Linked DNA regions of Tamandua tetradactyla. The main gene of each other region encodes a partner of the protein of the gene in region 3 in a complex. Links are inferred from orthologs where the notes say so. Each region holds a gene or a part of one and is shown on either strand. Other genes may lie near its edges.

Region 1 (10,575 bases), on a different chromosome or scaffold from region 3:
GGGTGGCCCCGCTAGCTGGGAGATCCCTCGGCGCGCAGTGTCACGGCGGCCGCCATGTCAGATGCGCCTCTCTGCAGCTGCAGCCTTGGCTCCGGTTCTGGGCAGGGGCCTGCGGGAGGGGCGGGCGGCGTCCGGAGTAGGGATCCCAGAGCAGCCCTTATCCACCCCCACTGGCCCCAGCCTTTCCAAGGGTCCAAGGACTTGTCACGGGGCACCCCAAGCAGCAGGCCAATGACCTCTAGCTCTACCATCTCGTTGACCCTTGGAGCAGAATTAGGAGCAGGCGCCGGGCGAGAGGAGATAGAGACTTTCCCAGGCCACACGACCCGGAGATGGCTGAGCCGGCTCAGAACCAAGCTAGTCTAGCTTCTTGGAGCCTGTATCTTGGTCCCCAAGGAGGCGAGAGACCGCAGCCGATCACCCAAACCTCTTCTCGGCCCCAGGATCCCAGACGGTGGAGCACGGGAGCAAACCAACTCTGCCAAATAGAACTCCTTTATCTAAAGGGGCCCCTGACAACCCGAGCTGGCTGTTACAATAAAACGTGTTGATTCTGTACTTGGGCCAGGGCTCGCTGAAAGGGCTCAAGCTTTATGAGTCACATGTACACATACCATCCTCCAAAACCTCTTAGAGCTGAGCGGCCTCCATCACCACCGAGTCTAGGAACTCACATGTGTTAACCTGCATAGCTTGGCGTTTCATTTTGAAATTATTCACTTCGAAATGAGAGTTTTCAGGAAAGATAGAGATAAGGGACGATTCTCCCCCCAAAGCTTCCAATTGCACACCAAGTCATGAAAATGTGGAAATGCTAAAAATCCTCTCTAATTTTTAGAATCTTTATCCCTTAGGTATATCACCTATAACATGCTGGTTGATGATGCGTTACCTTTCCATTTTTTTAATTCATGATGTGTAAGACACTGAACTTGGATCCCTGCACAGAAATACCAGGGAGTGTGAAATGCAAACCTCATATATAAAAATTTAAATATTCTCACCCAAATATTTGCTGGTGAAAGTGACTGGGGAATATATAATCAGTTACTTGTGGCTTACTCCCTGCTCTGGCCCTCCACAAGCCCTGACTCAGGGAAGGAGTCTGAGTTTTGCCAGGAAGTTGCAGCTATGCTTCTTGCCGGTGGGATGGCTTTGGGCAAGTCACTAAATGTCCTAAGCCTCAGTTTCCTCATCTGCAAAATGGAGGCCATGGTAACACTTTTAAAGATTGCTATGAAACTTGACATTTAAATGCATGTAAGGCAAGCTACTCCTACACTGTAGTCTTCCACCCCATGGTAACTAGTACTGTTATTACTGATAATCTGTTGCTTTCCTCTTCCTGAGCCTGTGAGTTGGGAGATGGGAGCCCTGGGTGTCTACCCCACAGTTGCTGTGAGGATCAGCCCCCATTACAGTGCTAGGAGGCTCCCAATAGGGCTGCCTCCTGCCCGGAGCCAGAGGAGAAAGGAGGCTGAGGCCTTTCTTCAGATTGGTTGGTGGATTGGTTTTCCTCATCATTTCAGAATGTCTGGGGGCTGAAATTGTATGAGGTGTTTACTTGAGCTGCCAGGCACAAGAAAATAAGGGACCAAGACCCTTGTTTACTGAGCTCAGAGATAAGTGATTGCTCTTCCTCAAAACACCAGACTGCCAGCCAAGAGGGGAAAAAAAAAAAAGATTTTTCTTAAGAGAACAGCAAAATCCAGGTGGAATCATCCACATAAGGAATACTCAGGTACTCAGGTGCTATGGTAAATTGGGGGAGAGGGGGCCCTCAATTTTTTTTTTCACTCTAGTCCAAAAAAGGTGGAGGTTTACTGAAGTCAGACTGCTCTCCCCACCAGCTCCTCTCTGTCTAGGATCCATACTCCCTGCTTGACTTCTTTGAACATGGCTGCTATAGCAGCCTTCTAGGGAAGGTCCCTATCCTCTGCTGCTCCTGAAGCCAGGACCACACCCACCACTGCCTGGGCCAGCGGGTGGAGGACATATAAGAAACTCACCTGGGACACTTGCAAACTCGTCTTCTGTTCCCTTGATAAGAAACAAAAAGGAAAAAAAAAGTGACTTTCCCTCCCCAATAGTTCCCAAATACAGTTTCTCCTATTCCTTTGAGGATCACAACTCTTGAGCGCCCAGGTGACGGTTTATTTTCCATCCCTCTTCCCAGGCATCCATGTGTTTTTCTAGCATTGCAAACACAGGTGTGGGTGAACTGAGTCTGTGCCAGGAGTTGGTGCAGTCATAGGCATGGGACCCAAAGCAGGAGTCATGGTGGGGGAGGGCATAGAGAAGCACCAAGGGCACACTTGAAACCTATTGTGGTTGACCCAGCCCTTTTGGGGCCCTGGTCCCAGGGCCACCGCTGCCCCTCCCCGGCAGATGTTTGTAATCCACCGTGCCCTGTAGCGTCCTCAATGCGGCCTTCTCAGGTGGATGGGCCCCCTACTGCCACCGATCCCGGAATGGGCCGCTAGTCCTCCTTCCTAGAAGCTTCCCTGAGAATGACTCTTTCCACCCAGCTTGGAAGTCCCGTGGCTCAGTGGCTACGAATGGGCCCAAACACCCTTCGCTGTGACTCCCCAGGACTCACTGTGGCTGCAGATAGCGGTGACAATTAGCGACAGCAGAAGGACCACGCAGAACCCAGCCAGAGGCGCCCAGATGTAGAGGTCACAGGCGAAGTCCAGTCCCTTGGTGGCCACTGGGGACACCAGACGCACCGACGTTTCAGGAATGGGTCGGGACTCCCCACCCTGGGCAGCCACACCGGGGCACCACTCCGGCTCCGGGGCGCGGGATCCTGAGCCCTGCCCCAGCCCTCTGCTCTACCCGGCGATCAGAGCTGCCTGGTGCCCCGCATGCTTTCCTCACCTGGGCCGCCTGCTCCGGGCCGGCATGTCTCCGGGCGCGGGGTCGCCGACTGCAGCGCGTTGGTGGGCGCGGGCGTAGGCAGGCGCAACGCAGGTGTCGTGGGAGTGGGCTTCTCTGCGGGAGCCACAGCGCGGGGTTGCAGGCCAGCCCCAGCAAACGAACACGCCCCTTCCCCACCCTGCACCCCTTGATCCAAGGAGGCGCCGCCCCCCAGTTTTCCAACCTGGAAGCAACAGAGCGCCACCCGCGAGAGGGGGGCGGGTGAAGCGGGCTGGACGCGGGGACTGGGGTCACCCGCCCCCCGATTCGTGCTGACCCCTTCGCCGCGGGGCACCCTAGCCCCCTGCGAACCTCTTCACCGCCCCTCTCCAGGTCTCAACCAGCAGCCCGAGGAGCTTGGGTTGCTATCCTCATGTTACGGCCTCACAAACGGAGGTGGCCCCGGTGGCGGAGGGGGAGGTTAAGAAACTCGCCCAGGAGGAAACAGCCCCTCGAATTCGAGCCCATATGGACCGGGCAACCAAAGTCAACTCCAGTTCCTGCCCGGCTGCCTCTGAGTCCCAGTTTCCTCGACGGGGAAGGGGAAGCAGTATCAAAAGGAGCCCTGCGCCCCACGCGGACAACTGCTGCGCCCAGCGCGCGCATCACCCCGAACCTGGCAGGAAGACCGGCACGAAGGGGCTGAAGTAGATCATCAAGTTGCTCAGCACCGCGCAGAAGTAGTAGCCTTGGTCCTCCTCTCGGAAGGGGCGTAGGGTGAGGGTGAAGAGAGAATCCCGGACCCTCTTGCCCGAGAACCGGCTGCTGTCCAGCCCTGGGGCCATTTTCGTGCGGGTTTGCGTGATGTACATAAGGAAGCTGGGGCTGGCAGGGTCGCCGCGCCGCTGGAAGAGCCACGAGCAGCTCGACGCCGCGGAAGACAGCAGCACCTCGCACTGCAGCTCCACGGGCTCGCCCGGGTGCCCGCGGACCTCCCGCGGCGATACCCGGAACGCTCTCGACTCAGAGGCCGCCGCGGTATCTGCAGACGTCGGGCAGCGCGGCTGAGCCCGGAGTCCCGCGCACCCCTCCTCCCCATCCCCTTCCCCTCTCCGGGGTCGCACACTTACGGAGCAGCACGGCCAGCGGCAGGAGCAGGGCGGTCACCGGCCAAGCCATGGCGCGCTCCTCCGGAGCGCAGGGGAGGCGAAGGGGCCGCTCGGGAGCCGGCCCAGCAGGGAGAGGGAAGTCGCGTGCTGGGGCCGGCCGCTGGGCCCGATTTCGCTTGCGAAGGATATGATGTCACCCAAAGCCCCCGCCAAGACAGTCGTAGTGCTTTTCGTGGTTGTCACCTTCCGGACCGGCAACGGGGCTGGGCACGGCCAACGAGGGCCTGGCCGTCGAGGCAGCCTTGCCAGGCAGCCGGGGACATTGATAGCTGCGGGTTAGGGGATGAGGAAAAGGGCCTGGAAACGGCTCCTTTAGGGGGAGCTACAGACGCGACACAGAGGCTAGTGAGGGATTTAGGAGAGGGGGATTCCACTCCCTTTGCCTTCAGGCAAGATGGCCCTCTCAACTTGAGGCTTTTTGTTTGCAAAACTGGCACTGAGGGCTGAGAAGGAAGAGAAATTAGTGACCTGCCCGCTTCTCTGGAACTTGCGCAAGTTACTCTTGCGTACACTGAGGAAAGGCCTTCTCACTCCTTGGGGGTCCCTCCTAGCAATCTGGCCCCTGCCTCTTGCCCCTGTTTTCTGGGTAGCGATTGCTGCAGCCTCATAGGGCTGGAGATTATCTGACGACTGTACCGGCCTGTGCTTTCTGGACTTGCACTTGTTCCAATGTCTGGCTTGCATTCAGGGTTAAGCCCGGAGGCCAGCCTTGGTGCTCTGGCTGGACCTTAGTGGTCTCCTTACCCCCTGCTCTGGGTGCTCAACAGGTACATGGGCGCTGGTTAAGGCTTGGGTGGAGCTGGTTTTCCTGCTCCTGGTCCTGGTAGGTACACACAGCCCATTCCTTCCTCTTCACCTGTTGCTGCCCCAACAAGAGCCCCAGTGTTGTGCCCTCCCCCCTTCCCTTTAGAGCTCCCTGGCTTCCCTCTTTGGACCCTGTGCTGGGTGCAGGGCATGTTACTGCTGCCTGGTTCCATGTGCCTGCCCCACCAGTGAGGGCGGTGGCTCAGACATGGGGGTGGCTCCCCCACCCCCATGTCACCTCACAGCATGGTCTGTGCTGTTTGCTGACTGGGTCCAAACTCAAATGTTGGTGGGATGTTTTTTACCATTATTATTACTTTGATTTCAATGTTCTCCTTCCTCAAGGCATTCAAGGTGCTTACTCTAATATAGAGCATAGAACATTTTATATTTAGAAATGCTTTTGAAAGTGTTGTTGTTTTTTTTTTTCTAAACACAAAAGTAATCCCTTCTTGAGAAACTTCAGGCAATACGAAAATGAATAGAAGGAAAGCCCCAGGGCTCATCTCGTCACCATCTTCCACTCTCCAGAGCAAAACACTGTTACAGCCGAGTGTACCCCGTGCCTACCCTGTGCCTATCCATTGCTTTAGAAACGTGGGGCTATACTATGCATATATTGTTCCTAGTTAGCAGTAGAAGAAGGAGAGCAAAGTTTCGTGTTGGCACATGTGGATCTATACCACTATTTTAAATGGATGTTCTATAGTTTAGTACCCCTGATGATTGACGTTTAGGTAGGGAGGCTGCAGTAGATACAAGGCACCTGTGCAATTAAAGCCTTGTGCCAGGTCATGTAGCATTTATTCTCCATCTCTGTAATGTCTCTGACAATGTAGACACAGTGTTGTTCCTAAACTCACATGAATGAGAAGGGCAAGTGAACAACCAGGTCCAGACAGGCCAACAGCGTGACCATCATCAGTTTAGATGGCAGTTTCCCATTTTGCAGTCTCTGCTCCCACAGCAGACAGTACCTGCTCCGGCTGGTCACAGGACATGAGAACAAGGGTGAAATGACCAGACTCTAAAGGACATTGTGCTCAGCAGGGGTGGGGGGGGGGGTCTTAGAAGGGCACCAGAGTCAACCTCCTGATGTTGGAATCTTGGAGACCAGTTCCCTAAGTATGATGATGGCCAGATTTCTGGTGTGAAATGCTTGAAAATAGAGTACTCCCATCTAAGTCTTCTGGAAACGGGCTGCAACTGGCTCAGGAGCCTTCCAGCCTTGCAGCTACGCAAAGTGTGGGCTGGGGAGGGTGGGAGCCCATTGTACAGAGCACCACAGAGTGGGGGAGGGGAATGCCAAGGCAACATGTCAAACCCACCCAGAAGGCTTCTTGACCCCAATGATATTTTTCACAGAACAATGGTGGATTCTCAATGTAACCACAGCGACATCCGCCCTCCAGCACCCAGGAGAGCAGATGCAATTGCTTGGGTTCTGGGGATGCTTGCTTGCTCTAAGGCCAGGTGTGCAGAGGACTGGGCTGGGCCTGCCCATCCACTGCCAGTTAAGCTTCCAAACCCCATGCTGTGGCACTCACACGAGTGGTATGAGGAGACAGAAACAGCCACACTCCATCAAGCCAGCCTCTTATTTTTAAAAACATCCTGACAGAGACAGGGTGACAGGTTACCAGCCTCTATGCTGAATTTAAGCAGGTCTTTGTTTTTCTTAAGATGTTTGCTTTTTTGAAACTTAAAAAAATAACTTTAATTTACTTTAATTAAAGACATACTCAGAATGCATAACCGGGCAGTGGAAGGAAATTAATCAGGGCTCAGGGCCAGGGCTCCACAGAGGTGGCCTAGAGCACAACCTGAGGCCGTGGGGCTAGGGCCTCCTGCCAATTCAGGTCTGGGCAGAGTTCTTCCTGGAAGGACTTGGCTTCCTTGAGGCCAGAAAGGCCTGTGAAACTCTAGAATCATCAGGGTCTTGCTTTATCTCAATCACAATTCCATTTCATTTGTGACACCCCCACTTTGCTCTATCTCCAGGACCACCAAGCTCATTGAGACTGTGTTTGCAATGGTCTCATGACTACTTGTCCCGTTTCTATTCTGGTTCCCTCCAGCACTTCCTCCACAAACAATATCTTTTTTTTTGTAATTATTATTATTTTTTAGTTATACAAGTTGTAGGTTTACAGAAAAGCCATGTAAAAAATACAGTGTTCCCATATATTCCCCTACTGTTAGTTAGTGTGGTACCTTTTTTAACTAAAAGAATATTCAAACTGTACTATTAACTATTGTCCATAATTTATGTTAGGTGTATTTTTTTTCATATACCGCCCTATATCTTGTGCTAGTAACATACATTTGCTGTAGTCCATGAAAGAACATTCTTATACTTGTACTATTAACTATAGTCTATTATATACAATAGAGTTCACTGTGTTGTACAGTCCTATGTTTTATCTTTTAATTTTTACTCTCAGCAAACTCATAGAGTCAGATTTTAGAATATAGACATATATGACCCAAAATTTCACCTTTTAACCACATTCACATATGTAATTCAATGTTGCTAATTACACTCACAATATTGTGCTACCATCACCCCATACATTTCCAAAACTTTACAATCAACCTAAATAGAAATTCCGTCCAATTTCCCCATTTTCTACCCCCATCGAGTTGCTTTTAACCTATATTCTAGATTCTGACTCCATGAGTTTGCTTACTCTATTTATTTCATATCAGTGAGATCATCCAATGTTTGTCCTCTTGTGTCTGAATTATTTCACTCAACATAATGTCCTCAAGGTTCATCCATATTGTAACATGCATCAAAATTTCATTCTGATTCCTATTCATTTGAATGATGAATAATATTCCATTGTATGTAGGACACATTTTGTTTACCCATTAGTCAATTGACGGACACTTGGGTTGCTTCCATCTTTTTGGCAATTGTGAATAATGCTGCTATGAGCATAGGTGTGCAAATATCTGTACATGTCTCTGCTTTCAGATTTTCTGGGTATGTACCTAGTAGTGGGATTACTGGGTCATATGGTAATTCAATACTTAGCTATCTGAGGCACTGCCAAACTGTCTTTCACAGAGACTTCACCATTTTACGTTCCCACCAGCAATGAATGAATGTTTTTATTTCTCCACATCCTCTCCAATACTTGTAACTTTGGTTTTCTTTTTTAATAGTAGCCTTTCTACTGCGTGTGAAATGGTATCTCATTGTAGTTTGATTTGCATTTCACTGATAGCTGGTGATGTTGAGTATTTTCATGTGGTTTTTGGTATATCCTCTTTGGGGAAATCTCTTTTCAAGTCTTTTACCCATTTTTAAATTGAGTTGTCTTTTTTTTTTAATTTATTTATTAATTAAAAAAATTTGACAAATGAAATGAAATAAAACATTAACATAGATAATCAGTAATTCACAATATCATCACTTAGTTGCATATTTATCATTTCTTAGAACATTTGCATCCAGTCAGAAAAAGAAATAAAAAGACAATAGAAAAGAAATAACACGAAAACAGAAAAAAAGAAAGGTTATACCTACCATACCCCTTACCCCTTGATTTCACCGATCACTAGCATTTCAAACTAAATTTATTTTAACATTTGTTCCCCCTATTTATTTTTATTCCATATGTTCTACTCATTTGTTGACAAGGTAGATAAAAGGAGCATCAGACACAAGGTGTTCACAATCACACAGTCACATTGTGAGAGCTATATCATTATTCAATCATCTTCAATGAGTTGTCTTTTTATTGTTGAGTTGTAGTATTTCTTTATATCTTATGGATATTCCCATTTGGTAGGTTATCTTTTCATTTTAGTGATAAACTTTTGATGACCAAAAGTTTTGAATTTTGATGAGGTCCCATTTATCTACTTTTTATTTTGTTGCTTGTACTTTGGTCATATTCTAAGATGCCTAAAACAAGATTCTGAAGATACTTCCCTACATTTTCTTTTAGGGCTCTTTTATTGTCCTGGTTCCTATATTTAGGACTTTGATCCATTTTGAGTTAACTTTTGTATACGGTGTGAGATAAGGTTTTTCCATTGTTCTTTTGTGTATGGATATCCGGTTCTCCCAGCACCATTTGTTGAAGAGATTATTCTCTCTCAATTGGGCAGGCTGGGCAGCCTTGTCAAAAATCAATTGGCTATAGATGTGAGGATCTATTTCTGAACTTTCTCTTTGATTCCTTTGGTCTATATACCTATCCTTGTGCCAGTACCATACTGTTTTGACCTCTATGGCTTTGTAATAGGCTTTAAAGTCAGAAGATATGAGTCCTTCAACTTTGTTCTTCTTTTTCAATGTTTTTGGCTATTCAGGGTTCCTTACCCATCCAAATACATTTGATCATTGTTTTTTCCATTTCTGCAAATTAAGCTTTTGGAATTTAGGTTAGGATTGCATTGACTCTGTAAATCATTTTAGGTAGAATTGACATCTTAATGATATTTAGTCTTCCAATCCATGAACATGGTATGTTCTTTCATTTATTTAGATCTCCTTTGAATTTTTTTTAGCTATGTTTTGCAGTTTTCTGTGTAAAAGTCCTTTACATCCTTGGCTAAATTAATTCCAAGATATTTTATTCTTTTAGTTGCTATTGTAGATGGAATTCTTTTTCTTGATTTCCTCCTCATATTGCTCATTACTAGTGTATTGAAACACTATTGATTTTTGCATGCTGATCTTGTACCCCACTACTTTGCCATATTCGTTTATTTGCTCTAGCAACTTTGTTTGTAGATTATTTGGGACTTTTTATATGTAGGATCATGTCGTAGGGAAATAGTGAAAGATTTACTTCTTCCTTTCCAATTTGGATGCTTTTATTTATTTTTCTTGCCTAATTTCTCTGGCTAAAACTTCCAGCGTAATGTTGAATAACAGTGGTGACAGTGGGCATCCTTGTCTCATTCCAGATCTTAGAGGGAAAGCTTTCAGCCTTTCATCATTGAGTGTGATGTTGGTTGTGGATTTTTTCATATATGTCCTTTATCATGTTGAGGAACCTTCCTTCTGTTTCTATTTTTTAACTATTTTTATCAAGAAAGGATGCTGGATTTTGTCACATGCTTCTTCTTCATCGAGATGATCATTTTTTAATGTGGTGTACAACATTAATTGATTTTCTTATGTTGAATCACCATTGCATACCTGGAATAAAACCCACTTCATTACAGTGTATCTTTTAATATGCTGTTGGATTTGGTAGTATTTTGTTGAGGTTTTTGCATGTATATTCATAAAAGAAATTGTTTTGTAACTTTTCTGGTAGTATCATTATCAGCTTTGGTATTAGACTGATATTGGCGTCATAGAATAAGTTAGTCAGTGTTCCCTCCTGTTCAATATTTTGGATGAATGTGAGCAGGATTCTTCTTGGAATCATTGGTAGAATTCATCTGTGAAGCCAACTGGCCCTGGGATTTTCTTTGTGGGGATGTTTTTGATGACTGCTTCATTCTTTTTTACTTGTAATTGGTCTGTTGAGATTTTCTGTTTCTTCTAGAGTATAGTGTTAGTGTATTTCTAAGAATTTGGCCATTTCATCTAGGCTGTCTACCTCATTGGCATACAGTTGTTCACTGTATCCTCTTATGTAGGGTCAGTAGTAATGTCCCCTCCCCTCATTTCTGGTTTTATTTATTTGCATCTTCTCTCTTTTTTCCTTTTGTCAGTCTAGCTAAGGGCTTGTCAATTTTGATGATCTCTTCAAAGAAACAGCTTTTGGTTTTG
Region 2 (9,662 bases), on a different chromosome or scaffold from region 3:
CCGGTGTTTCTCCCCCTCTCTGCTTGTTTCTTGGCTCACATTTGGATTGTGCCTCCCCACAGCAATGCCTTGTGTTCACCTCCTCTGTCTGTGTGCCTCTCTCTGGGGTTTTTGTGCCGGGAGGCAATTCTGACTCTCCTGATATTGCTTGGAGAACCCCTTGCCTCCTCTCCTTTCTCATCTTTTCCCTCTCCAGCTGCCACTAAGCTGTAGCCCCTTCCTGCCTGTAAACAGGCATCCTGTCCTCTGGCAGGAAGGCAAGCTCTCCACAGCTTTGATCTGAGAGCCCCCCAAAAGAGAGTCCCCTAGAGCTGGGCCTGGAGCCCAGAGGTGAATGCCAGAGATGATCGCTCAATGCGGGGGACACAGGCGGACAAAGGGAAAAGGATAGAAACTGGGAGAAACACACAGATAGAAACCCCACAGGAGGATGAGAGAGAAAGAAGGAAGGAGGGACCCAGAACAGCTCATTAAAGCAACAGCTACACCTTGCGCGACCCACAATCACACACAAAGCCAAGGACAGTACAAGAAGATGGAAGCAGAGGGAAAGAAAGGAAGAATTTCCGAGAGCCAAGACATATGCACAGAGCACTAGACCAAAAGGGAGACAGCCCCACAAGCAGATGAGACCAAAATGGCAACACTCCCGCACTCTCTCAGAGCCTGTGAGCCTCCTGCCGCCCTCAGCCCTGGGCTCCGGGGCTGGGATAAGGAGCGAGGCTGGGGGGAGGAAGAGGGCACAGCCCCACCGCAGTGACAGTCTGTGGTCCCACAGGCACTTTTATCTTCTCCCCATAGTCCCCGCTCAGCCCCCTCAAGCCTACCACGGGATGTGCTCTCAGACACACACACACACACACACACACCCTGCCTATGCTTACAGTCTTCATTTAGACTTTCTAGAGACCATGACCCCTCTAAGGGGTCCCTTGTGGTTCGGTGGCTGCAACCTCCACCATCCTCTCTCTGCCTCAGACGCCCACATGGGGGGAACTGTGCCCTCCCTCCTTCCCTTATCCCCCTATCTCTGAGTACAGAGAGAGCTCAGCCTTACAGCCTTTCAAACCCAGGACCCACCTAGACCCTCCCAGCACCCAGGTATCTGCTCCCCCACCCTCATCACACTTATTCATTCAACAAACATTTACTGAGTGTCTCAAATGTGCGAGATCCTCGGCCTACCTGCCTCATCCCAGCGCTGCCTCACCAGGAGAATGGCCTAAGGCTCTCAAAGCTTCTGCCTAGAAACAGTTGGAGGGGGCAGTTTTTATGAGATAGAGCCCTTCTACATTAAGTGTCCCAAATTGAAAGGGGGAAATCACCTCCTGAGTATCTCTCTCTCTGTCCTCTGGGAGCTCTTTCCTCTGAGGGTAAGAGGGCGGCCATTTTATATGAGGCTACAGAATCTAATACAGCACAAGAGATTAGGTGTCAAAAGGTGAAATATTCATGATCTCCACCACTGTGTTCTGCTCTTAGCCAACACCCCTGAAAATTGACCCCAAAAGAGTAGGCTGTTCAGGAAGAGCTATTCCACCCGGAATGAGACCCTTGAATTAGGGAGAATGGAGCTTCCGTATTTTGATGGATCAGACTGTACCCTAGCCGGTTTTCTCTCTCAGAAATAGTCTATGAAGGGAAGGCCAAGGAAACTTGGGGAAGGGCAGGGCTCTGAGACCATGGAGGTGTGAGAAGGGAGAGGCCTAAGCGTGTGGAGGCAGGGGCTGCAGTTTTACAGGACATCCCGGTGTGGAGACATCGCATCCTGCTTCACCCCCCCGGCCCCACCAAGTCCTAGGAGGCAAATCCTCTCATCTTCTCCCCAAGGCCCCGCTCAGCCCCCTCGAGCCCAGCAGCAGCGGGATGTGCCCTCAGACACACACACACACACACACACACACACACACCCCTCGCGCTTGCAGGCTTCATGGAGACTTCCTAGAGTCCAAGACCACTTCTCCAGACCTCCTTTCCCAGAGCAGGCCAAGGCGCCTAAAGCCCATTCTCTTAGAAATAATTTCTCTAACAACTTATTTGCCTAAAAATTCATATCTGTCACTTTTGCAACATTTCATACATACACGTTCAGTTTCGTTTTGGCTTTCTCATTTTATTAATCACTTTTAAAGCCAATTAAAGTGGAAGGGACTTTCTACAAATTGTTAAAAAAAAAATCCTTAAAAAATGCACAGGTATAGAAAAAAATTTTAAAGACGCATAAACAGAAAAGAGAGTTAAAAAGAGGCTCTATCGATTGTGTGGCTTATGAAATGCTGCAGGCATGATTTCTGGTGTGGATTTTTTGGTGATTGCGTCACCAGGCAAACTGACTTGGGGAGAACACCTCTAGACTAAATCCTACTTCCTTCTTTTCATCTTGCTTTTATCCTTGTCTGTTCTTTTCTTTTTTATAGGCATCCTCCCTCCTTAATATTTATTCATTCTTTCTATTATTTCCCACCCCTTCTTCCCTTTTTTTCTCTTTTCCCCTCGTTAAATAAAATAAGATGGCCCCTTGCATTGGGCTTGCTGGAAGGACCCCTTTCCAAGAAAGGATCTTCCAGAAGACAAAAACAAATGAACTCAGGGGCTCTTCAAGAAGCTGGAAGGCACCTCCGACAATATTGCAATTAAGCCACATTTGCTCCAGCTTCCCTGGTTCGAGGTCTTCCCTGCTGGAGGAGTTCCTCCTTCAACAAACTTGCCACTTTGATTATGCTGGTGACTGTTTCTTTTGACACCGTCACCCAATCTTCATCTCCTCCAGGGCCCATGGGAAGTTGCCTTCCCATGATTAAGTTCCCCACACTTCTCTGAGCTTGCAAAAGCCACCATCCTCTCCTGAGCAGGTCTCACCCCAGTCACAGAGGTGTGCACCGTGGGGATGAGACAAACTTGGTATAGTTCCTGTCCTCTGGAAGCCCATAGTCCCAGTGGGAGATAGCAACTATATGACCAGATGTGTGAGAAGTTAGAGGGCGGCCAGAGCTATAGGGAGAGAGTGAGAGTCCAGCACATTCCAGAGTATTCGGCATTGGGTTCCCCTTCCCAGCCTCAGTGAGAGAAAGTCTGTCCATCTTACCTCTGGGCCTGTGTCTTCGGTCCCTCTGCTTCTCACACAGCGTGTCTATGGGAGGACTGGGAACTCTGCAGCCAGGAGTCTAGTGGGCAGAGGGCTCTGCTCCTTCTGCAGAGATGTGCTTAAATGAAGAGAAACAGGAAGCCAGCTCCTCCACACCCCAGGCCTGGGCCAGCCCCCAACGTCACCATCTGGGGCTGGGGTCCCCACCCCCTGGTTCTTGGGGAAGATGTCAAAGCGAAAATGCCATAGTCAAGGGAAAAAGTTAAGCAGAGCCAGGCTGGAGCCCAGAGCGTCTCTGCCTCTGTTGGGTGGCAAGAAAAAGATCTTAGCAATGATACTGCCATCTGGCCTAGGCTTTGGGGGAAAGAAGTGGGAGGCAGGTGGGTGACCTCTGAGAACAGCTGTGGAGAATCCCCCAAGACAGCGCCCGGCTCCAGAGCCACAAGGGTATTTGTCCAGTAGGTACCTCTGGGGGTCCAAGTATAGGTGTCCAATGTGGCAGCAAGGGCAAGGGGTGAGTGGAGGACCTGTGGAATGCGTAGGTTCAGAGTGGCCGACGACTGTACCTTCTCCTCTGAGCCTCAGGCTCTGGCCAGCCCTGAAATGTTTATCGCTAGCCTGATCTCTCAAGACCTTCTGGGATGATATCCCCTACCCTCTGGACATTTCCACTTAGGCATTCCTCAGACAAAGTAAATCCAGTATCTTTGTACTACCACCCTCCAAATCCACTTCCCTTCAGATTTCCCACTCAGTTAGGGCTTCAACATCCACCCATTGCTCAAGCCAAATAAACTGGGTGTAATCCTTGACTCCTGCACCCAATCCTTCCTACGTATTTATTTACCAATCCCTGTGGACATTACCTTCTATATAGTTCTGAAATCTATCCAGGTCACTCTACTCCACTGCCACCACTCCAATGCAATGCGCCATCATCATTCTGTCCTGAACTACAGCTGTTGTCTGGGGCTGGGCCCCCTGCTCCTCCATTCTGCCTTCCTCCAGGCCATACTTTGCAAGGCAACCTGAGAAACATTTAAAGATGTAAATACGGTTGTGTCATTCCCCTGCTAAAACTCTTCAAAGCTGACACATTGTTGATGAGAGTGTACATTAATACAACCTCTATGTCAATCAATACATATCAAAATTTAAAATATACAGACCTTTTGACCCCAGCATTTCCACTCCCAGCAATTTACATCATCAATGTACTTTCTATATGGAAAATGACATATGAACAAGTATTTTCATTGCAGCACTGTTAGTAACAGCAAACAATTGGAAACAACCTAAATCCACAAGGGACTGATTAAATAAATTATGGTGGATCCATACCATAAATTTTTATGCAATCATTTTTTTAAAATGAGGAAACTCTTTAAGTACTGATAAGGAACAATATTCAAAAGAGATTGTCAAGTGGAAAGTGTAAGTGCTACATTTTTCCCATTTGTGTTTAAGAAAAAAAGGAAAAAAGAAAGTAGCATATGTATACATGCTTAGGTATGGTAGACTCCTCTGGATGTATACATAAACGGAAATTTTGCTTCCAAAAAGGACTCTGGCCTTTGTCCAGGATCCTGGAGGCTAACCTCTAAACGCTTGTAAGTTCTTAAATGCTAGGAAAGTCTTTGCTAACCGCCATCCCCACCCCATACCTGAGAATTTATACTAATGATATGATTCAGGGCAGAGCCAGCCCCACAAGCAGTCTTAGGGTGGCGGCTGCCCAACTGTAGGCTAGAAAGACCAAACCTGTGAGTAGAGAGTTGGACTTTTGAGCCACTTAATATCAGCCCCACCTTTGCTAAGGCACTGCAGGGCTGGAGCTTGAGTTCAACCACTTGGGTAAAAATGCAATCAATCATACTTACATAAGAAAATTCCAATAAAAACTCTGAATGTGTAAGCTCAGGTGAACTCCCTGATGGGTAATACACATCAACATGCCCCAAGAGTGAAGCATCCAGACTCCATGGGGAAATGACATGGAAGCTTTGGATTTGAGACCTTCCCAGACCTTGCCCTGTGTGTCTCTTCTTTTGGCTCCTTCTTATTCCTATCCCAGAGAATTCCTGGAGCCTGCCCATGCCAAAATAATAGTAATAATAATAAAGGGCGGGCCACGGTGGCTCAGCAGGTAAGAGTGCTTGCCTGCCATGCCCAAGGACCCGGGTTCGATTCCCGGTGCCTGCCCATGTTAAAAAAATAAAAATAAAATAATAATAATAATAATAATAAAGTAACTGTAAGTATAATAGATCCCCAGGTTCTATGAGTCATTCTAGTGAATTATTAAAACTAAGGAAGTGGTGGGAACTCCCAAATTTGTAGCCAATTGTGTCAGACGTGCAGAGTCCTGGAACTTCGGAACTCGTGGCTAGTGTCTGAAGTGAGGACAGTCTTGTCCTTAACCTGTGAACTTGACATAACTACAGATAGAGTCTGACTTGCATTGTAAAAAAGAAACTGTTGAGATATATATTTTCATAATTAAAAAAAAAGTGACTAAAGAGACAAAGAAAATTAAATGCAACCCATTACCCTGGATTGAAACTAATAATAGAGGCAAAAAAGACCCAAGAGGACGTTATTGGGACATATGGAAAAATATAGACTGTAAGCATTATATCAGTGTTAAGTTTCTTGAACTTGATAATAGTACTTAAGGTGGTTACATAAGTGAATGTCCTTGTTATAAAGAAACATACATAGAGATATTAAGTGTTTGTCATGGTCAGGTTCATGTGTCAACTTGACTGAAAGGTGGACCTGTTTGTCTGGTTGGGCAAGTGCTGGCCTGTGTGTTGCAATGAGGACATTTCATAGAATTAAATCATGATCACATCAGCTGCATCCTCAGGTGATTCCATTTGTAATCAGCCAAAGGGGAGTGTCTTCTGCAATGAGTAATGCTCACTCTAATCACTGGAAAGCCTTTTAAGGAGGATTCAGAAGAGACAGGCTCTCTTCCTGCTTCGGCCGGTGATCCTCTACTGTGGAGTTCGTCCAGACCCTCCATCGAAATCATCAGCTTCACAGCCTGCCCTGCAGATTTTGGACTCCGCATTCCTGCAATCACGTGAGACACTTTTATGAATTTTATATTTGCAAATATTTCCTGTTGATTCTGTTTCTCTAGAGAACCCTAACTAATATAGTGTTCCAGGAGCATGATGTATACAACCTATTCTCAAATGTTTACAAAATAGATCAAAGGTGGACAGGTAGGTAAATGATAGATATAGGTGATAGATAGTTAGATAGAGACAGACAGACAGATAGGTATGTAACCAAGAAATTAGGATTTAAGGGCTGATTTTGCTTACTGAATCATTATATAGATTTTTTTTTTTGCTTTCTGGTATATCGGAGTAGACAGAGGGAAATACCTGAAATCTCTGAATTGCAATCTGGCTGTCTTGATCTCTGATGATGATCTTTATCTTCTGCCCTTGTGATTATAAAAACCTTGTGACTGACCTTCATTTATACCCATTTAACCAGTTTTTCAACTTTAGATTCTTGTGATCACTAAAGGCAGTCCCTAATGTTTATTAATGAAGGGTCTTGGGTCAGCCCAGCACTAACCCACCCCAAAGTTAAATTGAGAATCGAGACTGGATTTAACCAAAATGAGCCTGCCTGACATGCACGGTAGCTTAGACATTAACCTACAAGTTACCTATACCTCATTATAATATTAAAAATCATGCCCACCATTGCGTTAAGGCAGCTATTTTCCTACATGTATTCTGGGACTAAGCTTGTAATCAATTTGTGCCTATTCAATAACTAGATCACCTCTAATTACATCAGGTGGGGCCACTGTGTTCATAATCCTAAACCCTGCCCATCTTTTTCTCTAATAAAACTATCAGAATTACTGCAGTTTGGGGAGACTAGATTTTGGACCAATAGGCCATCTGCTCTCCTGCTACATGCCTAGTAATAAACTTTTTTTCTCTCTTTGAAACCCCAGTGTCTCAGGAATTGGTCATTTGAGCACATCAGGCAAAAGAATCCACCACCCTTGTCAGGTAACAGGTAGAAAAAAGAAAGAAAGAGAGGTAGGTAGGTAGAATGATATGCCAAACGTGGCAAAATGTTGAAAGTTAGATCTTTGTATCTAGGTGGGAGTATGCTGGAGTTCTCTGTAAGGATTTTGTATTATTTGTGCAACTATCCTGTAAGTATGAAATTACTTCAAAATAAAAAGTAAAAAAAGAAGAAGAAAGAAAGAAAAAGCAGATAATAAAAAAGTATTGGCAAAGTTCCTTGAGGGATGGGAGAAAAAATATGGAACTATTAAACTTTACCACAAGGGAAACTCCTGATACTGGTCAAACATTAGGGACACCCAAATCAATAGGCCAAGGACTTGATTTTGAGGCTTTCTCTTGTGAAGCTTATGTAAGAAGCAGAGAAGCTTAGCCTACCTATAGGTATGCCTAAGAGTTACTTCTGGAGGACCTCTGTTGTTGCTCAGATGTGGCCTCACTCTAAGCCCAACTCTGCAAGTGAAATCATTGCCCTTCTCCCTACATGAGACATGAAATCCAGGGGTGAAAATCTCCCTGGCGGTGTGGAACATGACTCACAGAGAAGAGACTGGCCCTGGCACCGTGGAATCAACAATATCATCCTGATCAAAAGGGGGAAAGAAGTGTAGCAAATAAGGTAACGGTGGCTGAGAGAGATTGAATGGAGCCGAGAGGTTACTCTGTAGGTCACTCTTATGCAAGCTTCAATTAGACATTGTTACTTATCAAACTTGCCAAACCCCAACCAAAACCATTTCAGCTAATCCTAAAGAACATCTAGGGCAATATATAAGATTCTACAAAGGTTCCATGCACTGGGGTAACTTTCCAGAAACCTACAACCTCCAGATGGGTCCCTGGACCAGATAAGCCTAGAACCTAGAGGGCTCAGACCCTCCAGAACGTCAGCTGGTTCCATCCCCCTACCCCATATTAGTGACAACCCTTCCAACATGAAAACGTTAGGATGGCCATAGCCCAAATACCCCTAAAGAGTGGGAGAAAGATCATAGGTGATGGTGGAATTACACAGAGAAGGTAGGGTTTAACAAACTAATATGATTACTGAATCATTATATTGATATTTCTTTTAGTCTCTAGTATCTTAAAGCAGCTAGAAGCAAAAACCTAAAATAGGAGAACCCATACTAAACTCTGAAATCTGTTCAACTAATTGTTGCACTGTGCTTTGAAATTTATTGCTTTTTTGTATATATGCTATCTTTAACAAAAACAAAAAACAAAAAAAAAAGGTCAATTGTGATGATAAAAAAGCATTTATTCCTTCAAGCCTCCAATGTTCTGGAGCAGCTAGATTGAAAAAATCTGAGATAATGGTATGACATTAACCCATGACAAACTCTGGAATCTGTCCTGCAACTACTTGTTGAAAAGTGCTTTGAAAACCATTGCTTTTTTCTTTCTTTGCTTTGTAAATATGTTATACTATGCAATAAAAAAAAGTTTGAAAGAAACTGGCAAGAGGGGTAGCCTCAGAGGAAGGGAACTGGCAGACTGAGGAAGTAGGGTGGGAGATATAACCCACCGTGCCTTTGAAATTTGGTACCACATGCTTGTATTACCTAGTAACAGCCTAGGGAAAAAAATAATAAATGAAATCTTCAATGGCCTCCCATTTCTTCTGGATGAAGACCTAAACCCTTAACCTGGCCTAGGGCCTTATGCGACATGGCTCCTCTAACCCTCACCAGCAGAGCCAGTGGAGTCACCCTCCACCTCAGCCACCCTGCTCCAGCCACTCTGGGCTTTCAGTCCCTCGAAGGCACTGAGCGCCTCCCACCCTAGGGTCTATGGATAAGTTATTTCTTTGCCTGGGAGAAACCTCTGTCCTTCTCCTACTCCCTACCTGTGATCTAGAGCAATGGTTTTCAAGGTTTGTTCTCTGGACCTTCTACATTCCTAAAAATTATTGAGGACCCCTCCCCTGCCAAGAGATTTATTTTTTTAATTGAAACTGGAAAAGTTTTAGATTTTAAAATAATAATAAACCTATTGTAAGTTAATCGGAAAAACATTTTTTTAAAAAAAACTATATTTTCCAAAGCAAAATTTATTAAAAAGCGTGACATCTTACCTTTTTTAAAAAACTCTTTAATATTTGCTTTAATAAGATAGCTGGATCCTTATTGTTTTAGGGAAAGACTATGAAGAAAAGCCGATCTCACACAGACAGGCTGTTGGAATAGAAGAAAACATCTTAATAGGCTTTTCAGATCCTCGTGGATATTCTTCTTTGATAGTATGCTAAAATTAGAGAAATGTTAGCTTTTTAAAAGTTAGTTGCAGTATAGAATCGGAAACTGTAACTCACCTTTGTACTCCATTACATTAAAATCCGTTGATCTATCATACACTTTGTTTTCATTTTTGACTTTTTGCATGGGCGGGCACCGGGAATCAAACCCAGGTCTCCCGCATGGCAGGCAAGAATTCTACCACTGAGCCACCATCGCATCGCCCAAAGCTTTTTTTGTTTGTTTGTTTTGATTTTGGTTTTTTTAAAAATC
Region 3 (9,877 bases):
CTGGAAGGCCCTGCGGGAGGGCGCCCTCTACGGGGGCCACTTTGGGCAGATTTCTGCCCTCGAGAGTGCCATCCACTATCACTCCATCCTTTCACCAAGTGTGTATTGCCCTCTGCGTTGCTGGGTCCTGTGTTAGGTGCTGGGAACCCAGGGCGGAGGAAGTTCTGATGGTAGGATTTCAGTTTGGCAAGAGACAGACTCACAATGGTCAATTACCAGGTTAAACCCACTTAATGGAAGACCCATCCATCCATTCATCCATCCAATTATTCTTTTATTCCGTAAACACTGATGCCTACTCTCTGTCAGATGCTTAATTACTAAGAAGAATAAGACCGACTCCTGCTTATAACAGACCTTTTGGTTCTCTAGTTTCAGACCTTTTTTCCTTTTTTTGGCAAAATCTTTCTTTTAAATGAAAAAATGAAATCATAGGTAGACCCCCATAAAATAAATATAAAATTGGAATTGTGGTATGGATAAAAACAGATACAAAATAATACAAATTATGAAGTCCAGACCAGCACCAGCACTTGGGAATTTATTAGAAAAGCAAAGTATCAGGCCTCACCCCAGTCGTACTGAATAAGAAATTTGGGGGATGGTTGTTGTTTATAGTTGTTTGTTGTTGTTTTTCCCCTAATATTAGAGAAGTGGGATGCTTACAGAAATATCATGCAGAAAATACAGAGTTCCCATATACCCCATTCACATACACTCTTCCCTATCATAAATACTTTATATTAGTGTGGTACCTTTGTTATAATTGATGAAAGAATATTATTATAAGTTAACTATATTAGCTATAGACCATAGTTTACATTAGGGTTCACTGTGTAGTACAGTCCTTAAACAACAGCACTATTCCGCTAACATATACACAACTTAAAATGTCCCCTTTTAACTACATTCAAATATGTAATTCAGTGGTGATTGCAGTCACGGTGTTGTGCTACTATCGCCATCATCCATTACCAAAACTTTTTTCCATCACCCCAAACAGAAACTATGTACCAGTTAATCATTAACTTTCCATTCCTTACCCCAACCCCAACCCCTAGGATACAGATTATCTAGTTTCCAACTCTATGAATTTGCTTATTCTAATTATATCAGTGAGATCATACAGTATTTGTGTCTGGCTTATTTAAGTAGAAAAACGCCTTCAAGATTCATCTATGTTGTCACATGTATCAGAACTTCATTTATTTTTAATGCTGAGTAGTATTCCATTGTATGTTTTTACCACATTTTATTTATCCATCTTATAGCAATTGTGAATAATGCCAGTATGAACATCGGTGTGCAAATCCAACAATCTATTTCAAAAGCCCTCCAAGTAATTCTGGTGCATGATAAAGTTTGAGAACTGCCAGAAATATAAAAATGGGTATAATTCTTATATCAGAGTTTAATCCTATGTAGTCAGAAATTAGGGCAGCAGTTACCTTTAGGTGAATAGTGAGGGGCCAGGAGCCCAAAGAAGGAATTCCAGGGTGCAGGTGATACTATGGCTTCATCTGGGTACTGGTTACATAGGTGTGGTCAGTTTATGAGAATTTCTCAAGGTGTGTAGTTATGTGCATTTTTCTGCGTGTATGTTAAATTTCAAATATTTCAACACAAAGTTTTAAAAAAGGAAACTATCTGGTTGAAGTCCTGTGAGGGGGCTAAGAAACCAACCACAACTCTGCCCTTCCCTCTGCCCTAAGGAATTTCCAAGGAACCCTAAGGCTCCTCAGAGTATAATTTGAAGTCATTGATCTGCCCCAACTGAGACCCAGAGAATGTCAGTGAGTTGTCCGAGGTCCTACAGAGTCAGCCCCAGAACCATGGTGTCCTGACTCCCAGGCCAGGATTCGGGACACTATTCCTTTGCCGAAAGGCCAGTGTCATGAAGGAGGACAGGGGCAGCTGGGCAGCCTTCTCTCCGCTACCCGCTCCTTAACGTGGGGCTTGGGAGGAGAGCCAACATTCTGTTGCGGATGATGCTTTCCTTATCCTGGAGCAACTTCCTTTCTGGGAACTGGGTGTCTCCTTTTGGGCAAAAACAATAAAATTCATCCAAGGGGTCAGAGGAGCTGGGCTCCTCCTGCCGCCTCCAGGATGGGCATCACGTGGCTCCCTGGGTGAGCAGTTCAGGAAAATCCCAGCCCTTGCAGACTCGGCCTCCTACACCCATCTGTTCACCCACGCTGTCACACTCAGCCCCCCAGGCCCACCTTGGACCTTCACAAACACCCTGGCATACTCCTTTCACCCCCAGCTTCTGCCACCTCTCCCTGGGCAATATTGCCAGCCCTTCCCTAGCCTATCCCAAAGCTCCCATGTCCTTGGGGCCACAGAAATTCCAGCCAGTCGGCAAAGAGGATGAAAAGGAGGAGAGCCTGGACTCTGTGAAGGCACTAACGGCCAAGCTGCAGCTCCAGACACGGAGGCCCTCCTACCTGGAGTGGACGGCCCGGGTCCAGAGCCAGGTCTGGCACAGGGTCCAAGCCAAGCCCGGGCCGGGGGGATCTGGAGCCCTCTGCGGCTTTGACTCAGTGGACTCTGCTCTTGAGTGGCTTCGTCGGGAGCTGGTGAGTCTGGTGGGGTGGGGCGCCTTTCAGAGGCCAGTCCTGCTTAGGGCCCAAGACCAAGGGTGTGGGGAGGGAGTAAGAAAGGACTCTACCCCCCAGCAGCTGCTTATTCCTGTGACTCTGTCCTGGGCCTAAGAAGCAAGGAATAGATTTGTCCTGTGTTTTGTTTAGGGAGCTCTGCTGAAAAAGTATCTGCTCCAATCAACTATATGCTCCTATCGTCCTGCTCTTGAGAAGGGCACCAGTTATGGGTGGGAGAAGATACTCTGGGAATTGCTGTATCCCGAAGATACACTGAAGTATAAAAGCAGGCAGTGACTAAGCTGTAGGCAGAAATCCGAGGAGCGTAGTATTGAACAGGTGGTTCTCAACCCAACATGTTGCAATGTAAAGATGCCCAGGCTTCAACCTGGAGATTATGTTGGCTGATCCAGGAGGGCACCCCAGGCATCTGTATTTGTTTAACAATAGCTCCCTAGCTAAGTTTGAGAATCACTGGTGGAGCCAGATCTGAAATGGGGAGGGATCAGGCTGGGGCGAGAGGAAGCTGGGACTGACACAACCAGCACAAAGGCCCAGAGTGTTGACAGGAAGGGATAACTGGCGTGAGGGCCGGAACTAGTCCAGCCAAGGCTCACGTCCCCTCTTGGTTGCAGCGGGAGATGCAGGCTCAGGACCGGCATCTGGCTGGGCAGCTCCTGCGACTGCGGGCTCAGCTGCACCGGCTGAAGGTGGACCAGGCCTGTCACCTGCACCAGGAGCTGCTGGACGAGGCCGAGCTGGACATGGAGCTGGAGCCAGGGGCCGGCCTAGCGTTGGCCCCACCACTGCGTCACCTCGGCCTCACACGCATGAACATCAGTGCCCGTCGCTTCACCCTCTGCTGAGGGCCAACCGCTGCCCTTTCCCCAGCCCGCCTAGGAAGGAAGAAGAGCAGGGTGCCCCAGAGGCCCCAGCACCTGACAGCGGGTGAGGGTGAGGGAGGGTTCAGCTCTCAGAAGTTCTGAGAGTACAATGCTCAGGCATCCTGTCATGTCCAGGTAGTGCCCTCTCCACCCCCTACCCCACCCCTACCTGGAGAACCCACTCCACCCCCCACCCCACCCCCGGCTTCTCAATAAACACCCTCTCTAATTTCCAACAAAGTCTCTGTAGTCATTTACTCATGTGAAGTGCAAGTGTCTGTGATCTGTCGCTGGGACCAGTGATTCCTGCAGGGGAGAAGGCCTGTTTGGTAGTGAGGAATCCCATCCCCACCAGAAGGTCCCGTTCTAGTTCTCTGTCTTATCTCTCAGCTTCTTTGCCAGAAACTCAAGCTCAGAACTGGGAAGTAATTTAAAATCCCAAGTCACCCGCACCTGGAAAAACTGGAAAGGTGTAGAATGCAGGATGTGGTAGACCTGGGTTCAAAGTCAGTTCCCCCATTTATTTCAATTAGACCTTGAGGAGGTCCCTCAACCTCCGAATCTGTTTTTTTACTTCTAAAATTGAGATACTAATTCTCACTCCAAGGTAGTCAGAAATGGCTTAAGTGAGATAATTCACAGTAAACACTTAATAAATGTGAGCTTTCTATTACTGGTCATTACTGTCACCCAGTAGCATTAGTACAATAGTGCTAATGGCCCAGAGAAGGACGGTGAGATGCTCAGGATGGCACAGCAAGGTGAGCAGGACCTTGTGCCCTGCCGCAGACCTGGAGCCCTGGCTCTGAGCAATGTGCGCTCTGTAAGTTTTTTACTTTACATCTCTCTGCCTTTGTTTCTGTGTTACTCTCTTTGTCTGGCTTTTCAACTCAGGCTTCCTCTTCCCCCCACCCATTTCCTGCCCCCCTCCCACCTTCACAGCTGAGGTGCACACAGAATCAGCTTCCATTTCACAAACCCCAACAATACTCTGTGGGTTCCCCTCCCCCAGCTTGCTCAGGGCTCAGGCCATGATGGTGATGCATTCACACTTTCCTTGGGTGGGGTCAAGGCCCAACTCTTGGGCCTGCCAGAGTTCACCTGGAGTTCTTCAGATTCCTGGTTCCTGGCCCTCTGCCCATGACAAATGCCACCGTCAGACTGGCCCCAGGCAAAAGGGAGGTCCTTGGTTTGCCTGCTGCTCATGACAAGGATCCTGCCTATAGCAGGAAGTTCCACCAGTCTGCTGCCTGCACCTGGGTGCCTGGGCAGCAGAGTTTGTTCTGCCTTCCACCTGTTGCAGATGCTGGCAGACTCTGCATCTCTCCCAGGGGCTGTGGCCTTGCCTCTCCCTGAATTAGAAGTGTCGCCTCACTTTCCAACCATAATTAGTACGTATCGCCCTGCCCATAATTCGTAGGGTCTGTTACTCTGCCCTTCTGAAGATGCAGTGTTGACCTGCCAGCTTCCTGAAACCGGGTTGTCCAGGATTTTGTCTATAAGAGGGGTTTTAGCCTAGCCTCTGACTTTAATAAAGCACTTGTCCTGTCCCCTGAGACAACATGACTATTGCTCTACCTACCGATTGTAGCAACCCAGTGAGCTGCTGTCTGACTGTGCATGGGTGTTGTTTAAATCTCCAACTATTGAACAGAGGTGCTGTCCTTTCTGCTGACTTTGAAGCCGTCAGACAGCAACAGTGGTGCTACCTGCCTTTCCCTGTAAGCTGAGCCTGTGTCTGCTTGCTCCTTGCTTGTCCCTGCTCGTTGGGCTCAAGGGCTGTCCAGGAGCACCCTGCGGGCCAGGACATGAGGTTCCATCCAACATTCATCTTCTAAGTGCTCACCCTCGGGTAAGTCGGGCCTGCCCCTGGAGATGTATGGGACCCCCAGGGGCTGAGGGGCGGGGGGCTATGGCAGCAGGAAGCTTGGGGTGTTGAAGGCTTGTGGTTGGGCTGCTGGGGCCGGGTTGGCTGCGGAGTCCTCAGGAGGAGGCAGGAAGTCAGCGTGGGACGTGGGCGCGAAGAGGTAGGCAGAGGCTACGACGGCGAGGGGAGCTGAGACCAAGACTGGGCAGCCGGGCCGGGCCAGGAGGACCATGTGAATGGGCCGGAAGGCTCCCGGGCTGGGCAGGTAAGGGGAACTGGGAACAGGGTAAGGGGAACTGGGAACAGGGGTCTAGGGGCTGTGGCGTGGTTGGGGATGACAGCAATGAGCCTGCAGCTGAGCATGGGGTCAGGCGTCCCAGGGTAGGCAACAGCCCTTCAGGCTGGGGGACAGAGAAAGCTTGCTGGTGGTCAGGTGGAAGGCATGGAGGGCGACTGGTTCACCTCTTTCCTGCATAGTGGGTGGCTCTTGCCTCTGCCACACTATCCACCATCAGTCCTTGCCTCACTGTTTCTTAGAGAGCTGATACATGGAATGTCAGATATTTAAAAGGCCTTCAGTAATCATCAACTACAGTTCCTTATTTGACTTAGGAGGCTCCTGAGACTCTGATCAGGCAAGATGCTCATTCCCCACGGTGCCTCAGCAAGGCAGTGGCCGGGCCACGATGGGAACGCAGTGCTCTGGCTTCACTGGGGGAGCATAATGGCCTAGATCGAGACCCCCACACCACCCTCCCTGGAGTAGAGTGATGGACAGGTTTGAGTCCAGGGGACCCAGGAATCTTCTGTGTCCTGTGGCAGATCTAGTGACCATAATCTCCTGAGAGGAACCACCCAGGGCATCCGCATGGAGGCATGAGCAGCAATTTTATCTTCAGTGACCAGCATTACTTGAGAGAGGGAGGGGTCGCCCTATAGGAATGGATGGCTACATAAGGGGATATTTATGATCTGGATTAGACTCTCCAGGGTGAAAGTATCTGCTCTGACTCTGGGAAGTTGGAGGGGGAGAGGATGATGGGAGAAAAGGAGAGGAAGGGTTATTTTTATCCTGGACAGGGTGCAGTTGGCTGTGGGCAAGGAACTCTGAACTTCTCTCTGGAGAGTTGCCACTCCTGCCTCAGCCAAGAGTTGCAGAATGTCCTCTTCACTCCTCTTGTTCCCTCCTGCTTCAGCCCTCAAGCGGCCGCTGTATGCAGGCCAGCTAGGCCCTCCGAGTCCTCCTTCCAGCCTAGGGAAGTGGAGGCCCAGGAAGGCATAGTCAGCTACCCGCCCACCCGCTCACATTCTACTTCTGAGCCTTCAGTTTAGTGGGGGAGTCCCCTACCTCAACCAAACATCCCAGGTTCCCCTGCCATGTCCTCCGCCACTGGAGTTTTTCTTAACACACAATTTCCGCCTAGTCAGCACGTCCCAGCCTTTCCTCTGTCCCCAGGTCCGAGGCCTGTGGGGGCTGGAAATGTGTTGGCTCATTGGTGCTGCAGGGGGACTCCTCCACCCCCTGGCTGACTGACATGAGCAGTCCCTTCCTTTCCTGTGCTAATAGATGAATCAGACAGTGGCCCTCATCTCTCCCTCATCTTTGGGGCTCAGGGACAGAGGCTTTTCCCAAAGGGAGGAAGGGCTCCGTAGATAGGGACAGAGAAAGGACCGAGGGTTCAGAGGCGAGAAGGCTTCTCTCAGGGGGATCTAGAGGGCTTCCTGGAAGAATTAGGGCAGTTTTAAGAAGAGCAAAAACCCATTTTGGAGAGAGCTTGGGACGTGAAGCCAGAATCACCATCCCTGGGCTCTCGCTGTTCCTTGAGTACCATGAGGGTAGAGACCAAAGGTAAGAGAGCCAAAGGTGTCGCGTAGTGCAAGGGGCACGCGTGTTAGATTCAGGCCGACCTAGGTACAATTCCGGTTTTGCCATTTCCTTGGACGAGTGGCTTCACCCCCTGTATTTCAGTTTCCTTACCCGAGGCAATGATAAAGCCCTCCCTTACTGAGTGCTTGTGGGGAATCAAAGAGAAAATAATGACCGTGACATGCCCTGGTTAATACCTGCCACGTAGAAGGTGCTTAACGAAAGTTCGGTGCTCCCTCCCCATGCATACGCTGCAGCAGAGGGAAGGCTGCCCTCGCCCAGAATTGTACCCACTCAGCACCTTGTCAGGCCAGTGAGCCACCCATTCCCTCAACCCTTGTGGTGTAGCTTTGCATATGAACTTGTTGTTTCCTGTGTATAGTGGGTGTGAGAACTCAGGCTGGCTGGATTCTGGGCTACCTCTGAGGTCAGGAGTCTACCTCAGAGGGGGGTCCCACAACATGGCCTCCCTGTCCGAAACAGGCTGGATATCATCATGAGGACATGTGTGCATGTATACTCAGAGGCAGAAGCAGAGGCTACACACACAACACACCCGCACTGGTAAAAATCAATCCCCACACCCACAAGCCGATGGCTTCAAGGTCAGGTTCAACTCAGCAAACGCAATTCTCAGGGGAGATGGGTGGGGGTGGACACAGGCAGGACCAAGATACCATCCGGGGCCGGCGCCTCTAACAACAAACTGCACGGTTAAAGTACACGGCGCTGCATTTCCCAAGCTTTTTCCGTAGAACATTAGTTCCATGAGGCACCTGGAAAGGAAAGGGCTCTGGGGCCAGGTACACATGGCTTCAGTTACAAACTCTGTCCCTCTGTTTCACAACCAATGTCAGAGCGTTAGAGCGTTGAAAGTATCCCCCAAGAAAAGAAATCTGATTAATTTAGTCTAGTGCGGTTTCCCAAATTTCCTTGGCCGCAGAACCTTTTTACGTAGTGACCTTTTCCACGGGCTGCACCTCTTGAGATGGGTATGGCGGAGAGAAGACGGGCTGCGCAGTCGGTCTTCCTCAAATGATGGCATCTCTTGGTAGAGTTTTTCCATTAGTAGCGGTTTTGTTGTTTTTCTGTTCGTTTTTCATTTACAGAATTAGCACATGGGTGTTTTTAAAAATTCAAAAAGTACAGAGACATATAAAAAATAGAAGAAATGTGTCCCCTCTGGTCCACTTCTGGAATGTGCTCGCTTTCAGCAATTTGGTGTGCATTCTTCTAGACTTTTCCACATATGGCTGCTTAAGAGCACAGCGGTTAAGAGCCTGCACAGTGGAGGAAGGCAGAGCAGACCGAGGTTCAGCTCACAGGTCCACCACTTGTTTGTTGTGAGGCCTCAGACTCCTTACCCTCTTTGGGTCTTAAATTTCCTTTTTTTTTTTCAATTATTATTTTTTCTTTATTAGAAAAGTTGTGAGTTAGCAGAACGAGCATACATACAATACAAGATTCCCACATACAGCCTATTATTAACCCCGTGCACTGGTGTGAAAAATTTGTTACAGTAGATGAAAGTACATTTTTATAATTGTGCTATTAACTAAAGTCCCCGGTTGAACTTAGGATTTGATGTTTGAGTAGTGTAGTTTCATGGATTCTTTAAAAAAAATTCTATTCTATTACCATATGTACAATCTAACATTCCCCCTTTTAATCACATTCAAACATATATTACTGTGCTGTTAATTGCTTTCACAATGTTGTGCTACCATCACCATTATCCATTACCAAAACATTTCCATCTTCCAAACAGTAACCCTGTACATTTTTTGGGGGGGGGGGTGCTCAGTTTTTATATCTGTAGAATGGGAATAATGGTAGCACTTACCTCATAAGATTATTGTGAGAATTACACGAAATCATGCAAATAGAGGTTTAGCACAGGAGCTGGTGTAAAGGAATTCCCCATATATACGTATTTAAATGCAAATAGGCCTATTTTCTACATTTGGTTCTGCAACTTGCTTGCCATGTTATCTGTGGACTCTTTTTCCACGACAACATATGGAGCTCTACTTCATCGTTTTAATGGATTTAGCTACCTCTTAGCTTGCGAATGGGTAATGGTGGTGAATTTGAGATGCTGCTACCAGGCAAGTGGAACTGTTTTGCATTGACAGTGTTGCTGGGAGTCACAGACAGCACCCATCAGCGAGCTGACGACAGGCTATATGGTTTCCTAAGAAAAGGGAGTGACCTGCGAGAGCAGTGCCCGCCTCTATCACAGACCGTGGGGCCGAATGGACAGGAACCCCTTTTGTCTGCTCACCTCTGTGTCCTCAGCACTAGTGCAAAGGCTGGCACGTTAAGTTTTTGCTGATAGACCCACCAGCTAAAAAAACTGGGTCTCCTTCAACCCAGGGACAAGGGCCCAATCCTAATGTTCTCCCTCGCAGTGCAGCATTTCCTAAAATGTGACCTGTCCACCATTGATGTGTATGAGCTGATTTCAGGGGATAATGGATGGATGTCTAAAAATGTTATTTTGTGTATTACATTATGTGTTTATTTTAATGTGTACCGATTTGTACTATCTATCTATGGCTGGTGATACTGGTTTACATTTATGGTAATTTAAAAGTGTTCCTTTTAAAGTAAATATATTACAACTGAAAAAGTAGTCCGTGGACGTGGCAAAAATCAT

What was found.
Region 1: the proteins of LCK (region 3) and CD8A are in contact, whole or in part, in an NMR structure (PDB 1Q69), measured with the Homo sapiens proteins. The link is inferred for Tamandua tetradactyla from reciprocal best matches to the Homo sapiens genes LCK and CD8A. Residues at the interface, in NP_001036236.1 of Homo sapiens: Cys20, Asn22, Cys23, Tyr25, Pro26, Ile27, Val28; in NP_001139345.1 of Homo sapiens: Arg212, Arg213, Val214, Cys215, Lys216, Cys217.
Region 2: the proteins of LCK (region 3) and CD4 are in contact, whole or in part, in an NMR structure (PDB 1Q68), measured with the Homo sapiens proteins. The link is inferred for Tamandua tetradactyla from reciprocal best matches to the Homo sapiens genes LCK and CD4. Residues at the interface, in NP_001036236.1 of Homo sapiens: Glu15, Ile17, Val19, Cys20, Asn22, Cys23, Tyr25, Pro26, Ile27, Val28; in NP_000607.1 of Homo sapiens: Ala429, Arg431, Ile435, Leu438, Leu439, Lys443, Thr444, Cys445, Gln446, Cys447.

Annotation. Positions count from the first base shown.
Region 1 is NC_135343.1:60,257,822-60,268,396, reverse strand, and holds the start of CD8A (T-cell surface glycoprotein CD8 alpha chain), read right to left. Parts: upstream 4,264-10,575; 5' UTR 4,039-4,263; coding exon 3,990-4,038; intron 3,902-3,989; coding exon 3,536-3,901; intron 2,995-3,535; coding exon 2,881-2,994; intron 2,711-2,880; coding exon 2,600-2,710; intron 2,041-2,599; coding exon 2,010-2,040; intron 110-2,009; coding exon 58-109; 3' UTR 1-57. UniProt on the Homo sapiens protein: Integral membrane glycoprotein that plays an essential role in the immune response and serves multiple functions in responses against both external and internal offenses. In T-cells, functions primarily as a coreceptor for MHC class I molecule:peptide complex.
Region 2 is NC_135333.1:69,078,643-69,088,304, reverse strand, and holds the start of CD4 (T-cell surface glycoprotein CD4), read right to left. Parts: upstream 4,067-9,662; 5' UTR 3,952-4,066; intron 3,613-3,951; 5' UTR 3,086-3,612; intron 1-3,085. UniProt on the Homo sapiens protein: Integral membrane glycoprotein that plays an essential role in the immune response and serves multiple functions in responses against both external and internal offenses.
Region 3 is NC_135328.1:193,640,444-193,650,320, reverse strand, and holds the start of LCK (tyrosine-protein kinase Lck), read left to right. Parts: upstream 1-5,462; 5' UTR 5,463-5,616; intron 5,617-9,877. Other genes in the region: protein FAM167B, read left to right, coding at 2,328-2,579, 3,236-3,466. UniProt on the Homo sapiens protein: Non-receptor tyrosine-protein kinase that plays an essential role in the selection and maturation of developing T-cells in the thymus and in the function of mature T-cells. Plays a key role in T-cell antigen receptor (TCR)-linked signal transduction pathways.